Arabidopsis thaliana: one gene and its partner. Each later gene encodes a partner of the first gene's protein in a complex. Each region holds a gene or a part of one and is shown on either strand. Other genes may lie near its edges. A codon is read from its position in the direction of its gene.

Region 1 (8,732 bases):
TACATCTCTTCTTTTAACAAAATAAAATTCCTAACGATTCAATCATTATAAGTTAAGGATAAGTTTGGCTTAACTAATCAATAAAATATTGTGAGGTGTATATGTTAGCCTTGTATTGCCGCCGACCGACCGACCGACCGACCGACCAACTTCTCATGTTGACTAAACCAATCTCTCTTATATACACAGATTGGTCCCAGTTCTCTTGTCATGTATCGGAAGTCCATATTATTGGAATCTTCTCAATATATATAATTCGACCTTCACATTGTACAACAAATTTAGACGATAGTCGATAGGGGAGCCACATAAAATTGGACCATGCAAAGAACTGTATATAATTTTATTTAAACTCAATTTTTTTTTTTTGTTTTCAATATTCTAACTTCCTTTATCAAAGCCCACCAATCAAAACAAAGGCCAGCTAAAATAGGCCTTTTAATTGTTATTGCCTTATTGGATATTTTTGTTGTAGATTGTATAACTCAGGCTCTGCAGTTGTCAAGTTCTATCTGGCGTGGATAAAATAATCGTATTTGTGATCTAACAGCTAACATAATTTCCTAATAGACAGTTGATGTTTTAAGCTTTTAGACAAGAAAGAAAGATCACCTATATATTGAAGAATAGTGTAAAAATAAAAATGGTTGATATTATAGGAAAAAGTAATTCACAAAGAGTCAATGAGAAAAGATTTCAAATGCTTGACAAATTCCTTGGACTTCTCCAAATTCACAGCATGTCCTGCTTTCTTGATCACCACTATCTCTGCACTCTCTCCTATATGTCTGTTTCACCATACAATTATTATAAACACATAAAAAAATACAGAGGGTAATCTCTATAGTTAATATACATGTTGTTGTTTACCTTTTTAATCTGTAACCTAGTTCCAGTGGAAATATTTGATCTTCTTCTCCCCATATGATCAACGATTTCTAATTCAACCAATAAACACACACATACACACAATGTTATAGGAACTGCGAAATTTACATAAGCAAATTAAAATCCGAATAAAGGTTTGTACCTGTTTGATCCTAGGAAGATCAGAAAGTCTCCTATCTTTGAGTATTGATTTGATCAAATCTCTCTTCTCCTCTACAAACTCCGTACACATTACCTTTTCAACATTTTGAACAACATTTCTCAAAACTCCAACATTTATCAACAAACAAACAAACAAAGACATTATTATAAAGGAAAAAACTTACATCGATAAAATCCCAGAGAAAAAACGAAGGAACACCTTTGATTGGTTTAACGAAAGAGAATCTTATGAGTTCCTTAAGCTTTTCCGGCGTCTGAGGAATCAAAATTCCGGTAGCTTCTTCTAGATTCGGCACCTTAAACAATCCGTCCTCCATATCTTTCTCCTCCAAACAAACCCCTGCGCAGCACAGCACAAGCTTCTCAACGTTCTCCGGAAACTGCGCCGCTAAACTATACCCAACGAATCCACCGTAACTAATCCCGACGATGTTCATCCTCTGGACTCCGTGCGCTTCCATTAACCTCATCAGACACCGAGCCTGGAAAGATTCGGTTCGGTTTGGTTCCGATGTGGATGATAACCCGAAGAAGAGGAGATCGGGAACGTAGACGTTGAATCGGCCGGTGAAAGCTCGGAGATGTTCTCCGTATTGCCACATTGCGTTGGCGCCGAATCCGTGGAGGAGGAGGAGATTAGGTTTAGATCGATTCGGGGATTTAGGAATCCAACAATGCATAGCTGTTGATGCGATTGAATTGCCGTGGGAGAGATCTGTCGTTACGGAACGTAGACCGGCGTTTGCGAATGATTGCCGGAATAACCAATCTCGCGACGCCGTGAAGCTGAAGCATCGCAGCAGTTTCATATGATCAAACATTTTTGATTCGAATAATTCAAAAATGAAACAGAGGAGAAGATACGGAGGCGTGACGATGACGAAGAGGAAAAAAACAAACAACGAATTCAGTTATTTGTCGAGAAATTGATTGTAAACGTGTCATTTATGGGTCCCTCCGTGTAATTTAAGGAATTACAGTATTGGACTTGGGGGAAATTGTAATTTACGTAAAAGACCGTTAAGAAAACAAAGAAGCTAAAAGGACCCCATAAAACTTTTCAGATCAAGTAATTAGAGGTAGAAGTTTTCATCCCAATCTGTACACATGTCACAAAACCACTAAATTATTAGTCTGTTGAAACCGGAGCAAAACCTTTCCTTTTTAGGGTTTTAGATAAGTGAAAAGATAGATTGGTGAACAAGAGAAATCGAGTAATAATCCTTTTTAACTCATATGTGTTTTCGGAGTCTCTTCTCAGCAACCTTTGCCGTCTTGTTCTGTGGTTCAAGGACCAATGCGTGCCTGAAATCTGCAGAGATGATCAACCATAATGTTACGCTCCAATACCCTACTAGAGAGAGTAACTCATCTGGATAGCTAGATGAATTTTATCTTTTAACAAGTTTCTCCAATGTGATAAAATTACAATCTCAGAGTAGTTTAATCATCATACCTGCAGCAGCTTCCTTGTACCGTACAAGTGATTCTCTAGCAGTCCCTCGTCTCAAATATGCCTTCACATTCTGTAGAAACAAATAACTATTATAAGAATCAAAGCTTCCAAATAATGCGTCATTGTGTCTATAGTGAGTGATCTGAGTGATAATGAAACTAGATAGTCATAGTACAAAGGTATTACGCCGCAAATCAAATAAATAAAAAGTGAATAGTTTTGTTCCAGCTCAAGTGTACTTAAACACAAAACCATGTTAAAAACACAATGTAACAAAACAAACTACGAGGGATGGAGAAATAAGGCAGCTAATCAAGTTTTCACCTTCTTATCGATCAACATGGCCTTGGTACAATCTTGTTCGGCTTGTTGGAAGCTATAAACAAACTCTCAGATCAGAAAATCATAATAAATTATATTCAGATCAGAATGAAAGATATGAAGAGAACAATTACCAGCAAAGTTCCAAGAAAGCTGCAGCTCTATTGCAATAATAAGTAGCATTTGCTCCATTCAATTTTATAGCTTCTGTATAAAAGTTTACCGCCTTATTCCATTGTTTCCCCTTGTATGCAGCATTGCCCTGGAATTACATTTTATCCACTGTTAACTTTGAGAACATTCCAACTCCAGTAGCATATCATGGATCAGAACCAAATATACTATTTGTCAAACTCAAAGAGATAGTTTTACCTTTTCTTTCATAACTTCAGAAGCCTCCATGTTACCATTGGTGTCAGACACTGGAGCTAAGTTGGATGCAAGTTTGGCTTGGTCTTGAAGGGATGCATATACATCGAGAGTTGTATCGAGAAGGAACTTATCACCTCCATAGTAAGTAAGAAGCGACACGGATATTGGACGATCACCATGTTCCCCTAAAGGAATTGTAACCTGAAGAATATGTATATATTTGTGTCATGACTAAAGACTGAAGAGTAAGGAAAAGGCAACAAGAATGTTCCCCAACCATTGAATGAGAAAGAGGAGATGGAAATATACCTGACAACATCCAGACATGCTTGCAATGCAGGAGAGTGCATAAGTACGATCAAGAAACTCATTCAAAGATTTATTTCTCTTTGTGTTAAGCCTTGGAGGGGGATCAGCAACTGTGGGGATTACCAGAATTCCATCTTCCTAGTAATAAGATACCGATCTATGGTTAATCATAATACCATAGAACTAAAAAGAAGCCGCAAAAATGAAAGTTAATAATTCAATCTCTTCAGACTTCAGTGTTTTGGTGGCAAAATGTCCTCAAGACACTAATGGCTGTGAAAATTTTAAATTTCCAAAAATCGAGTTTACCTTTAAAAGGCTTTGAATGGTGGCCCGCATCTCATTTTTCACTCTGTAGAGGGATTTAATGCTCTCGTTTTTGCTCTTCAGAGCTGTAACAACATCATTGGAAAATCTTGGCCCTAGAAACGATTTGCATGTTTGCCACCATTCTTCATGATTTGTTTTGAACTCATGCCTGGTAAAAAGAAAATCCTTTCTTCTTCGATATTTGCATATAATACAACTTAAGAAGAAAATAGTAACCTCCAGCAAAGAGGGAATAACAACAATCTTTTATTGCACCCGTTTAAAAGGAACGAGAGAGAGAAAAAAGTATTGATGCAGTGAAAATTTCAAGAAGTGTGAGCTTCTTAAATACCTTTGTATAGCCAACATCACAGATGAAAGAGCCCTTAAAGTTGATGCTGAATTTTGGGATTTCCCAGATTGCTCACAGAATTCCGCAAGACTTGGTACATTTGAAGCGACATATTGGCCAACGTTAACATGTTTTGGAGTCTTGTCTGCATGAGCCAGTGGTCAAGAGACATAAGATATGAATCTGGAGAAGGGCAAAGAGAAGGAAACAATACAGCTGCAAACTTACAGCCAGATAGATTCTCGATTGCCTTTCTGACAACTTGCACCGACTTTTGCTTAGGAATGTCAGAGAGCTCGAATAAATCATCAGCAAAGATTAAAGATCTTTGCCTTCTATGTGTTACTGCACTCAGATTTAGTAAGGCATGTCCAACTTGACACAAAACGGATGGATCAGAGGCAAACCATCCTACAGAACGAATCAATGAGTTCAATAATCAGGAAGGCAAACACCTAGAGTAGCATGTACCATTGAAACTACACTAAAAACACTAAAAGGGAGGGGAATGTAACGTACCAACAGTCTCTAGGCTCTGAGAATTGGGCAAAACTCCAACTGAAGAAACAGTCCCCTGAGATGGTCGAAAACCAAGAATACCACAAAAGGCTGCTGGGACTCTAACACCACCAGTGGTATCAATCCCTGCAAATCAAGCATCTTTTGATTAGCATAAAGAACCAAACGTAATCCAAGAAACACATTACCAAGAGAAAACGAAGAGATTAACAATACCAAGTGAAAAGTCAACGAGTTCAGCCCCAACAGAAACTGCTGAGCCACTGGAACATCCTCCAGGAACATTATCTGGCATCAATGGATTAATAGGAGTTCCATAGTGCTTGTTTTCTCCAATAATCCTGTAAAATCACATTCAAAACACAAACTTTCTTCAAACCAACTACCGAAAGGTCATTTCATATGCAGAATGGTAGGAGTGGAGAGATACCCAAAACCCAGCTCATCCATTATAGTCTTGCCAACACAAGTAGCTCCATTTTTCAAGAGCGTCGTGACAACCACAGCAGTTTTCTCAGCAGCCTCATGAGTCTTCTTCCATTGTGGACAACCAAATCCTGTGATATAATCCTTAACATCGAACCTGTCAAACCATTAACCCCGATATAACTTTATTCATTTCATTGCAACATGACTTCGTCTAAGCAAGTCAAAATCTCAATTAAACCAAACAAAAGTTTTGAACTTTATAAGCGAGATCATTATATAAAGCAGGAAAAAACAAATTTGAAAATAGGTTATGATTTTTAAGAGAGAGAGAGAGAGAGAGAGAGAGAGAGATACATACGCGTCGGAGATGGAGAAGGTAAGACCAGAGAGAGATTGTTTAGCAGCAGGAGGAGGAGGCGGAGGGAAAGGAAGAAGCTCGAAACGATCTAAGAAAGCACCAAAGTCTTCTTCTCTAAGGGCTCTAATCCGCCGCTTCCGGGTCTCCGCCAGAATCACGATCCCGGCCACCGTCACGCCGATCACTACCCAAACTTTGGGATTCGAGGCATTGCTTTGAATCAAAGAAAGCGTATTCGACATAACGCGATCTCACGAGAAAGAGAGAGAGAGAGAGAGAGAGACAAGGGTTTTAGGAGGGTTTAAGAGAGAAAAGGGGAAAGAAAAATAGGAGAGAGATTTGGAAGAAGCAAACACAGATGCTATCGTGCGCACTGTGTCTAAACCCTTTTAATTACGAGTGATGACTTGGCCAGCCGTGAACTCAAGTCCGTCTGCCCAAGGCGAATCTTCTCTTTTTGATTGATTAATAATTGTCTTTACGAAATCGATAAAGAAATTAAAAAAAAAAATTAAATTAAGAAAAATGGAAATTTTAATTTTAATTCCTTTATTTATTAGAATTACTCGTTTCAATTTTTTTTAATAAGCTTGTACAAATTGATTTAGGTTTATAATTTCTTTTGTTGGCCATTTCTTCTCTTAATGAACTTTTCCACTCGTGGAAAAATAGATTTTAAGCTAGTCAAGCCACTAAAAACCTCAATATAATAATGAAAAAATTAAAATATATACTGCTATAATTTATTGTTAAGTTTCCATTTTCTGTAGCCTTGCCCGTCAATCCAATTTTATCTTCAGATTATAGGAAAATCCAAGTTAAGTTTTTTTTATAGCTTTAATGGTTTACCAATCCAAATTTGGTAGATAAAATGGCATGTCGACCCGGATTTATAACCTTTAAAAGTTAGCTCAATATCATACTACCATTCAAATTTAAACTATAACAATATGACTGATGTATGAGTTTGACCAAAACAAATATGATGTATAAATTGCAGAAAACAGCTAATAAAGAGAAGAATATTCAATACGGATACAAATATGAATCAGAGTAATCCAACACTTGGCTATATAATATTAGCAGAGAAAAGCCAAATGAACAAATAAAAAAGTTATATATTGTTAAGACGAAAGAAAATAGTGAATAATTCTATTTCAATCCAAGTAATAAATTAAGCGGTAAATATCAACTATGGTATTTACAGAGAAGAAATAAAGTTAGAAAGTAAAAGAAGGAAAAATGAATACGAGTCAGAAAGTAAAATCAAGGAGAAATAGACATCATCAATGTGTCATCGTTCAAAAGAGACTCAATGTCAATAAAATCGTCTTCTTCACAGTTGACTGCTTCTTCTTCTTTATTGTTTATAGATGCACTTGATGAAGCCTGCAACAACAATTTATCACAAGAATGCTCAACAAAATATGATTAACTGATTATGTTATGGGTCTTGGGTACCTCATTTTCACGGAAGCCCTCAACAACCGTTAGGAGTCTACGGTATTGATCCCGTGCTTCTGGGTATTGAACCATCGACTTAACACGAGTCAGAGCCTTCTGTAGCCTTTCCTCTGTTTGTTTTCTTCCCTCTTTAAGATAATCATACTCATCTTCCTGTGGGATCCTAGGACATATAGCTGATACAGGCGGTTCCGGTTCCACGGTTTTGGCGACTGCATTGCGTTTAAACCCTCTCAAACCATTACCTTTGCGTCTCCAACGCAAAATGATTTTCTCGAGTAATCCCACAGACCAGATGACTGTTCGGTATTGTTTCCGGACCTGATGTCCTCTCACATGAGCCTAAAGGTAAATGTAATATGATTCCAGCAATGAGAAACCAGACAAAAGACTTATGCAAAGAAATAAGGGGGAGAAAAAAAAACTCAATGAAAGGCAAACCTGAATTTTAACGATTCTTTGTCGGATTAAAAGAAACTCTTTTCTCTTCTTCCAACCACGATATTTCTTCTGGATATGGGTAGCAGCACAACTAAGAGAGACATCACCCTGTCCTGGATTCTTAGTTTTAGAAGCTGCAAAAGAAACAGCTAACTGGTCGGAGATATCAATCTTTTCATCATCGCCAATATCACACAGCTGTTTCCGTTGGAATGATTGCATCCTGAATACTTGATGGAGACGATCAGCCGCTTGCGTAGCATTACGGACAGCAGTAAGTGAATCCTTCAAGGAAAGTTTCTCTGGTACATCGCCATAGGTCATAGGAGCAGCGGTTCGCTCAGAGACTGTTTGAACAGCTTTTTCTCCACAAGAGTTGGCAGGGCTATTTTCCTTTGAGTCCACTGTTAGCTTTTCAAGATAACTAGTTAAGGAAGACTCTGCAAGAAATCCCGAAATTCCCCTGTGTCCATTTGCGTAAGCCAAATCAGCTGCTGTTTTACCCAATGGAAGCTCTGGAGATGGATCCGTTAATGCCCCAGCATCAGCACCTAGAGAGACAAGCACAGCGACAGTTTCCTCCCTATAGTTAACAGGAAAAGGAGTTAGTTTGATATGGCAATGTTGACCAAATAATAGAGTTAAAGCATCATCAATGTGAGCATCTTAAACGAAATGCAAAATCTCAAATAATAATATTATGATTAAAGGAAATTGAAGATATGTGAGATAGAGGTCCATACCTGCCACTAAACGCAGCCCAATGAAGGGCAGACCAGCCATTGGCATCACGGAAGTTAATGTTAACTCCTGCTGCTAACACCGGTTTAATGGCCCAGTCATACCCAAGCGCTGCAACAAAGTGTAAAATACCCTGTCCATCTTCATCCAATATGTTTGGACCTTTACCCTCTTCAGTCACTTTATGTATGAGCCATATATATAGTTCTTCTTCAAACAGTTCCCTAAAAAGCTGTCCTTTTGGTTCTTGTTTGGTTGAGTCTCTCTGATATGTCCCTGGAAGGAGATACTCTTTCTCCTCCTTTAGCAACATAATTTTACTGATTTGTCTTCGTTTGTCCCCAACATCTTCGAATATATGGTGTTCGTGAACAAAATCCCTGTGAGCAAGCATCTTCTCAAACCGCAACTGAAGTGATGCTTCATTTGTATAGGTACCATAAACATCTGTAGCATTGATTTTTTGGGTAGAACCAGAAAGGAAATCAAATTCTCGTACTTCACTGCAAGCAAATCTGTTGGAACATGTAACATAAAAGGGGACGTGACCAGCTGTATGCGGTGGAGCATGACAGCAAAGAACACCATCTACTAAAATCTCAGCAGGAACT
Region 2 (7,881 bases), about 20 Mb from region 1:
AATCTCCATTGTCTTCTTGCTCGACATGTAGCCACCCATGCTGCTGTCTCTCAAGGCTTGAGCTTTCATGATCCTCTCCATGTTTGCAGTCCAGCCATACTCGCCTGTTACAAGACAGCAGGGTGAGTCCACAACACGGTCAGAGACGATAACCTTCTCAACCTTGTCTCCCAAAACGTCCTTGATCACTTTGCAGAGTCCCTCAAACTTCTCCTTGAGCTCTTCTTTCTTCTTCTTCTCGTCTTCAGTCTCATCCAGTTTCAGACCTTCCTTGGTTGCAGAGACAAGCTTCTTTCCTTCGAATTCCTTGAGCTGACCAATAGCATACTCATCGATAGCGTCAACCATGTAGAGAACTTCAATACCCTTCTTCTTGAGCTTCTCAAGGAATGGAGAGTTCTCAACAGCCTTCTTGCTCTCACCAGTGATATAGAAGATATCGTTCTGACCTTCCTTCATCCTTGTCACGTAGTCCTTGAGACTGGTCAATTCATCACCGCTCTTGGTTGAGTGGTAACGGAGCAACTCAGCAATCTTGGTTCTGTTTTGGGAGTCCTCATGGATACCGAGCTTCAGGTTCTTAGAGAAAGCCTCATAGAACTTGTTGTAGTCCTCCTTGTTCTCAGCAATCTCAAAGAAGAGCTCAAGACACTTCTTCACAAGGTTCTTGCGGATGACCTTGAGGATCTTGTTCTGCTGCAATGTTTCTCTTGAGATGTTGAGAGGAAGATCTTCAGAGTCAACAATACCCTTGACAAACCCAAGGTACTCAGGAATGATGTCTTCACAGTTGTCCATGATGAAGACACGACGGACATAGAGCTTGATGTTGTTGGGCTTCTTCTTAGTGTCAAAGAGATCAAAAGGAGCTCTCTTGGGAACAAAGAGGATAGCTTTGAACTCAAGCTGTCCTTCAACTGAGAAATGCTTCACAGCCAAATGCTCTTCCCAGTCATTGCTCAAACTCTTGTAGAAAGCAGCGTACTCCTCCTTGTTGATCTCCTCTGGCTTCCTCATCCAAATCGGTTTCTGCTTGTTCACCAAATCCCACTCATGAGAAACCTCCTTAATCTTCTTCTTTTTCTTCTCCTCCTTTTCTTTCTCCTCATCAACTTCCTCAACCTTGCCTTCCTCATCCTTCTTCTCTTCCTCCTCTTCATCATCAGAGATCTCCTTCTCAATGGTCTTCTCAATCCAGAGAGAGATTGGGTAGCTGATGAACTCAGAGTGCTTCTTCACCAAATCCTTAAGCCTTCGCTCCTCAATGTACTCCATCTGGTCTTCCTTGAGGTAAAGGACCATCTTAGTTCCTCTACCAAGAGCCTCACCAGAGGTGTCTCTGGTGACGGTGAAAGATCCACCGGCCTGAGACTCCCACACGTACTGCTCATCGTCATTGTGCTTGGTAGTAACAACAACCTTGTCAGCAACCAAGTAAGCAGAGTAGAAACCAACACCAAACTGTCCAATCATGCTAACATCAGCTCCAGCAGCCAACGCCTCCATGAATTCTTTGGTTCCAGATCTTGCAATTGTTCCAAGGTTGTTCACCAGATCTGAAAAATAAAACAAAAACGTATTAGCCAACACACCAAACACATAAATAATCAACGAAAACCAATACAAATTGCTTTTGACTGAAATCAATTACGTACCAGCCTTGGTCATCCCAATACCACTATCGATAATCGTCAAGGTGTTGTTAGTCTTGTCGGGAATGATGTGAATGAAGAGCTCTGGCTGACCATCGAGCTTGCTCTTGTCTGTCAAGGACTCAAACCTAATCTTGTCCAAAGCCTGTTTTCACCAGAGTAAAATCACAATCGTAAGTAACCAACCAATACACAGAACGTATATACAAATTACATATAAGCAAACTTTGTAAATCTAACAAGAGTCTGCTTAATCGTTGGTATCAACACTAAAACTAATCAACAGATTTGAACACAAACAGCTTCGCAACTTCAATTACCAACCAAAATTCTAAAATCGGCTAGAACACTAAACCCTAATCAATCCTAAATCTACAGATCGAACAGCCAGATCAATCAAACGAGACAGACAAGTATAAAATAAGGTGTAGAGAGATAGAGATCGTACATCAGAAGAGTTACTGATGAGTTCACGAAGGAAGATCTCCTTGTTAGAGTAAAAGGTATTGATGATGAGGGAGAGCAACTGGTTGATCTCAGCTTGGAAAGCAAAGGTTTCTGCGTCCGCCATTCTCGTTGATCGGAAAAAAAATCTAAGAGCTAGGGTTTATGAATCAAATCGAGAGATAAAGAGAGCAAAATTTTCTTTAGAGAGCAGAGAAGTGTTGATTGATACGAGACTTTGGGGAAGGATGTTATTATATATAGTGGTGTGGGGACTGGGAACCTATAAGGGTTTCTAGATCCTTCCTATTTGATTTATGTTAATTTGCTTTTCAGGTCCACATAATCTGCAATATAATTAAATGGAAATTACAAAATACAAAACTATTTTTTGGTAGAAAAATACAAAACTTTATTAAATTTTTTAAAATTTTATTCCCTTTTATTTTATTTTGGAGAACAGGTGTAATTTACTACTTTTTGTAACAGGTTTTAGTTTACTTCTTTTTTTTTTTGGTTAAATTTTGTAATTTACTATTTTATTTTATTGGTTGATGATAATTTACTATTTATAAAAAACAGTCAGATTTAATTCTACTCCCTTTTTATTTTGCAGAACAGGTGTAATTTACTACTTTTTTGTAACAGGTTTTAGTTTCCTTTTTTGTTAATTTTGTAATTTACTATTTTATTTTATTGATGATAATTTACTATTTTAAAAACAAAGCAATAATTTTATTTTTTGCTTACAACTTTTTTTTTCCTGTTTACAGATTGGTATGTGTATCTTTTAATAAAGTTTCAAAAAAATCAATAATTAAATAATAATATTGAAAGTTGTAAAATAAATAAATTAAAACAATAACAAAAAGAAACACATATTCTCTAAAAAGCGTGGGGTTTGTGGGGAGAAAAAATTGATTTTTTTTTTTTAACTTCAGAATTGATTAAAACTTTTTTTTTTTTTTTAACACAACTATTTATCTTGTTGTTATAAATTAAATACATAACTAAAATTTGAAATAAAATTTTGAGATATCTTGAAACTAAGGGATTAACTTTATCGATTTCAAAAAATAACCCAAAACTAGGACCGATCTAAAAAAATCTAAACATAGATAAACTAGAATGAATGGGAACTTGTAAATTCAAATCCATAACAAAATCGAATTTTGTATATGGAGAAAAACATTGTTTTTATTGATTAGTTTAGCTAATAGAAAAATTTAACAAAAAAAAAAAAAAAAAAAGTAAGTAGCACTTGTTCCAAAAAAAAGGAAAGTAAAATATTATGACAATTTTTATATTTTACAATTTCCATTATATTATGACGTCTGTTTCCACATCCCCTATATATTACACACTTTTCCCCCTTAATCAAACCATCAATACTTCTCTGCTTCTCTTAAGAATTTGCTTTTTGATTCACATAAACCCTAATTCTTAGATTTTTTTCCCGATCAACGATAATGGCGGACGCAGAGACCTTTGCTTTCCAAGCTGAGATCAACCAGTTGCTTTCCCTCATCATCAATACCTTTTACTCCAACAAGGAGATCTTCCTCCGTGAACTCATCAGTAACTCCTCCGATGTACGATCTCTCCCTCTCTGTCTTTCTATGTTTATCTTTAAGCTTAATGTGTTTGTGTATCTCCTTCGATTGATTTGACGGATCTATGTGTAGATTTAGGTTTTATTAGGGTTTAGTGTTCTTTTCGATTTGAGATTTTCGTTTGTTAATTGATGGAACCTTTTCATGTTCAAATTTGTTAGATTACTTAGTTTTTGATTGTATATATGTTGTGTGTATTTTGTTACTTATGATTGAGCTTTTTATTCTGGTGAAACAGGCTTTGGACAAGATTAGGTTCGAGTCCTTGACGGATAAGAGCAAGCTCGATGGTCAGCCTGAGCTTTTCATTCATATCATTCCGGACAAGACTAACAACACCTTGACCATTATCGATAGTGGTATTGGGATGACCAAGGCTGGTACGTAATTGATTTCATTCAAAAGCAAGTTGTACTTGATTTCATTCAAAACCATTATCTATGTGTTTGATTTGTGTTTGCTGATTCGTGTTTGTTCTATTGTACAGATTTGGTGAACAACCTTGGAACAATTGCAAGGTCTGGTACCAAGGAGTTCATGGAGGCATTGGCTGCTGGAGCTGATGTTAGCATGATTGGTCAATTTGGTGTTGGTTTCTACTCTGCTTACTTGGTTGCTGACAAGGTTGTTGTTACTACCAAGCACAACGACGATGAGCAGTATGTGTGGGAGTCTCAGGCCGGTGGATCTTTCACGGTGACCAGAGACACCTCTGGTGAGGCTCTTGGTAGAGGAACAAAGATGATCCTTTACCTCAAGGAAGACCAGATGGAGTACATTGAGGAGCGAAGGCTTAAGGATTTGGTGAAGAAGCACTCTGAGTTCATCAGCTACCCAATCTCTCTCTGGATTGAGAAGACCATTGAGAAGGAGATCTCTGATGATGAAGAGGAGGAAGAGAAGAAGGATGAGGAAGGCAAGGTTGAGGAAATTGATGAGGAGAAAGAAAAGGAGGAGAAGAAAAAGAAGAAGATTAAGGAGGTTACTCATGAGTGGGATTTGGTGAACAAACAGAAGCCTATCTGGATGAGGAAGCCAGAGGAGATCAACAAGGAGGAGTACGCTGCTTTCTACAAGAGTTTGAGCAATGATTGGGAGGAGCATTTGGCTGTGAAGCATTTCTCTGTTGAAGGACAGCTTGAGTTCAAAGCTATCCTCTTTGTTCCCAAGAGAGCTCCTTTCGATCTCTTTGACACTAAGAAGAAGCCCAACAACATCAAGCTCTATGTCCGTCGTGTCTTCATCATGGACAACTGTGAAGACATCATCCCTGATTACCTTGGGTTTGTCAAGGGTATCGTTGACTCTGAAGATCTTCCTCTCAACATCTCAAGAGAAACATTGCAGCAGAACAAGATCCTCAAGGTCATCCGCAAGAACCTTGTGAAGAAGTGTCTTGAGCTCTTCTTTGAGATTGCCGAGAACAAGGAGGACTACAACAAGTTCTATGAGGCTTTCTCTAAAAACCTGAAGCTCGGCATCCACGAGGACTCCCAAAACAGAACCAAGATTGCTGAGTTGCTCCGTTACCACTCAACCAAGAGCGGTGATGAATTGACCAGTCTCAAGGACTACGTGACAAGGATGAAGGAAGGTCAGAACGAGATCTTCTACATCACCGGTGAGAGCAAAAAGGCCGTGGAGAACTCTCCCTTCCTAGAGAAGCTCAAGAAGAAGGGTTACGAAGTCCTCTACATGGTTGACGCTATTGATGAGTATGCTATTGGTCAGCTCAAGGAATTCGAGGGAAAGAAGCTTGTCTCTGCAACCAAGGAAGGTCTGAAGCTGGAAGAGACTGATGACGAGAAGAAGAAGAAAGAAGAGCTCAAGGAGAAGTTTGAGGGACTCTGCAAAGTGATTAAGGACGTTTTGGGAGACAAGGTCGAGAAGGTTATCGTCTCTGACCGTGTGGTGGACTCACCTTGCTGTCTAGTAACAGGCGAGTATGGCTGGACTGCAAACATGGAGAGGATCATGAAAGCTCAAGCTTTGAAGGATAGCAACACGGGTGGTTACATGTCAAGCAAGAAGACAATGGAAATTAACCCAGAGAACTCGATCATGGATGAGCTGAGAAAGAGAGCTGAAGCGGACAAGAACGATAAGTCTGTGAAGGATCTTGTGCTTCTTCTCTTTGAGACCGCTCTTCTCACCTCTGGTTTCAGCCTTGATGAGCCCAACACTTTTGGAAGCAGAATCCACAGGATGTTGAAGCTTGGATTGAGCATTGAAGAGGATGATGCCGTTGAAGCTGATGCTGAGATGCCTCCGCTTGAAGATGATGCTGATGCTGAAGGTAGCAAGATGGAGGAAGTCGACTAAATATTGCACAAAGTCGACTAATATTAGCGGTGTTAAGAGTTTTGGTTCTATCGTTTTACATATCTTTGAGAATTTTTTTCTGCTGTAGTTTCTTTCTTATCTTGAAGCTTTTTCTCTGAACTCGGTTTTATGAAAAAGATTTTTTTATGCGAAAGGAACTCTGTTTCTAGCAAATCCAAGCTGATTTTTTGTCAGGTCATATAACTTAGTTATGACCATATTTTGCTAACCAGAATTACGCTAATCATATCTCACACAAAACCGTTACATACAGTGGTCATATATTAATGTAAGTATATAACAATATTAGTGTTTATTTAACTAAAATAAATTTTATTGCTGATCTTTTTAAAAATTATTTTTGCTATTACATGTTTTTAATAAAAGAAAGCTAAGAAACATATCATTATTGCTATAAACCCCACTAATTATAGTTGTTTTGAAAATAATATAGTTATTTTTTTGTAAAAGATATACATGTAACTTCAGCATTTTCATCGTTTTCTATTTTTGAAACTAATCAAAAATAATAGTAAGAAAAAAACTTTTATGAAATATATATAACTTATTTTCTCAATATCTCTTTAGTATATTGATTAATTTATGCTTCTTAAGCCATATTATTTTTAATTTAAAGCCATATATAAAATAATTATAAGAAAATTGAAACAATAATTGGCAAAAAGATGCAAATTCCAGGTTAATTGAATCAGATGCAGATACAAAATTTGTAATTATAATGAAATCGTAAAAACATTAAATGAATTAAAGAGAAAAAAAATACGACGTAGGGTGCAAAGAGGAGATTTCATCTCAACGCATGGGGGTCATATTAGAGATTTGAAGCCAAATGATTTATCGAATAAACTTTAAAAAAGTTTTTTTATAAATGTCATGGGGGTCAGTTGACCCCCCTCCTATATAACTGCCTCCGCCCCTGGTTACATAATATAGAACAATTTCTTGGCACATGGACCTAAGATTGACACACATACAAATTATATTATACTGTACCATAGAAAATATACAATTATCTATATGTAACAAACAACTATATATAAGATGATTAAAATATATGTAATGATAGAATTCTATTATAATATAATGTTGTATACGTTTATCTATACACAGTTGATAAAATTTTCCAAAATAAACCATAAATTTAAAACTTTACAAATACTCATCTTACGTAATATATTAATATATGATAGCTTGAAATAGCCAAATTAACTATAACAAACAACTGTGATGGCATATTGCCGTGCAACAGACAAGTATTTACCTAGTTTACATGTTATTACATGATATTTTGTTGAAATTATTTTTGAATTTTAATAATTAAAATACTAATTTTTGTAGTTTTTTCTAATTTTTTTTAATTTTATATAGTTTAGAGTTATAATCTATTATTTTTCTTCCTTACAATAAACAAGAGAATTAATTGTTTTATTGTAGAGTTTCTACAAAGTTGTTTTAAATAGCATTTTTAGTTAATATTTATGTTGAAGACTATAAATTGTTTAAAACAATTATCATTAGTTCTCATTAATTATTTACATATGATTTATATTTAAATCGCTAAAAATATGATTATCATGTGTTTAATTCAACTTTAAAAGCACATTAACATCAATCAATCATTAATAGATCGAATGAGCTTGATGTTTTAGTTGGTCTTATAAATTAATTTCCCCGATAAACAAAAACAAATTCTCTCCGACCAGATAAAACATTACATGGTGATGCTTCAAACTAAAGTTAGCTTCATTACATCTAACAATTTCGACATTTCTGTGATCGAAGCTCGAAGTTAAATCAAACATAGTTTCTTTGGATTTTAGCTATCGTTT

The links. Proteins that work in one complex are often made in the same cells at the same time.
Region 2: the proteins of TOC64-V (region 1) and Hsp81.4 are in contact, whole or in part, in a crystal structure (PDB 6HPG), measured with the Arabidopsis thaliana proteins. Residues at the interface, in NP_196504.2 of Arabidopsis thaliana: Lys492 (codon at 3,208), Asn496 (codon at 3,086), Tyr499 (codon at 3,077), Tyr511 (codon at 3,041), Thr523 (codon at 3,005), Asn527 (codon at 2,993), Ala530 (codon at 2,984), Glu534 (codon at 2,972), Val556 (codon at 2,573), Lys557 (codon at 2,570), Leu560 (codon at 2,561), Arg561 (codon at 2,558), Thr564 (codon at 2,549), Glu586 (codon at 2,339), Asn589 (codon at 2,330), Thr591 (codon at 2,324); in NP_200411.1 of Arabidopsis thaliana: Gly692 (codon at 6,005), Ser693 (codon at 6,008), Lys694 (codon at 6,011), Met695 (codon at 6,014), Glu696 (codon at 6,017), Glu697 (codon at 6,020), Val698 (codon at 6,023), Asp699 (codon at 6,026).

Annotation. Positions count from the first base shown.
Region 1 is NC_003076.8:2,925,301-2,934,032, reverse strand, and holds TOC64-V (translocon at the outer membrane of chloroplasts 64-V), read right to left. Parts: upstream 5,861-8,732; 5' UTR 5,718-5,860; coding exon 5,476-5,717; intron 5,272-5,475; coding exon 5,119-5,271; intron 5,030-5,118; coding exon 4,905-5,029; intron 4,815-4,904; coding exon 4,689-4,814; intron 4,581-4,688; coding exon 4,398-4,580; intron 4,315-4,397; coding exon 4,170-4,314; intron 3,987-4,169; coding exon 3,818-3,986; intron 3,647-3,817; coding exon 3,509-3,646; intron 3,401-3,508; coding exon 3,200-3,400; intron 3,090-3,199; coding exon 2,962-3,089; intron 2,883-2,961; coding exon 2,831-2,882; intron 2,577-2,830; coding exon 2,507-2,576; intron 2,363-2,506; coding exon 2,283-2,362; 3' UTR 2,012-2,282; downstream 1-2,011. Other genes in the region: AT5G09430 (alpha/beta-Hydrolases superfamily protein), read right to left, coding at 671-788, 871-938, 1,031-1,123, 1,215-1,871; EICBP.B (ethylene induced calmodulin binding protein), read right to left, coding at 6,742-6,864, 6,937-7,281, 7,381-7,963, 8,124-8,732. UniProt on the Arabidopsis thaliana protein: Chaperone receptor mediating Hsp90-dependent protein targeting to mitochondria.
Region 2 is NC_003076.8:22,675,752-22,683,632, reverse strand, and holds Hsp81.4 (HEAT SHOCK PROTEIN 81.4), read left to right. Parts: upstream 1-3,480; 5' UTR 3,481-3,565; coding exon 3,566-3,688; intron 3,689-3,947; coding exon 3,948-4,089; intron 4,090-4,196; coding exon 4,197-6,031; 3' UTR 6,032-6,295; downstream 6,296-7,881. Other genes in the region: HSP81-3 (heat shock protein 81-3), read right to left, coding at 1-1,556, 1,656-1,797, 2,101-2,223. UniProt on the Arabidopsis thaliana protein: Molecular chaperone which stabilizes unfolding protein intermediates and functions as a folding molecular chaperone that assists the non-covalent folding of proteins in an ATP-dependent manner.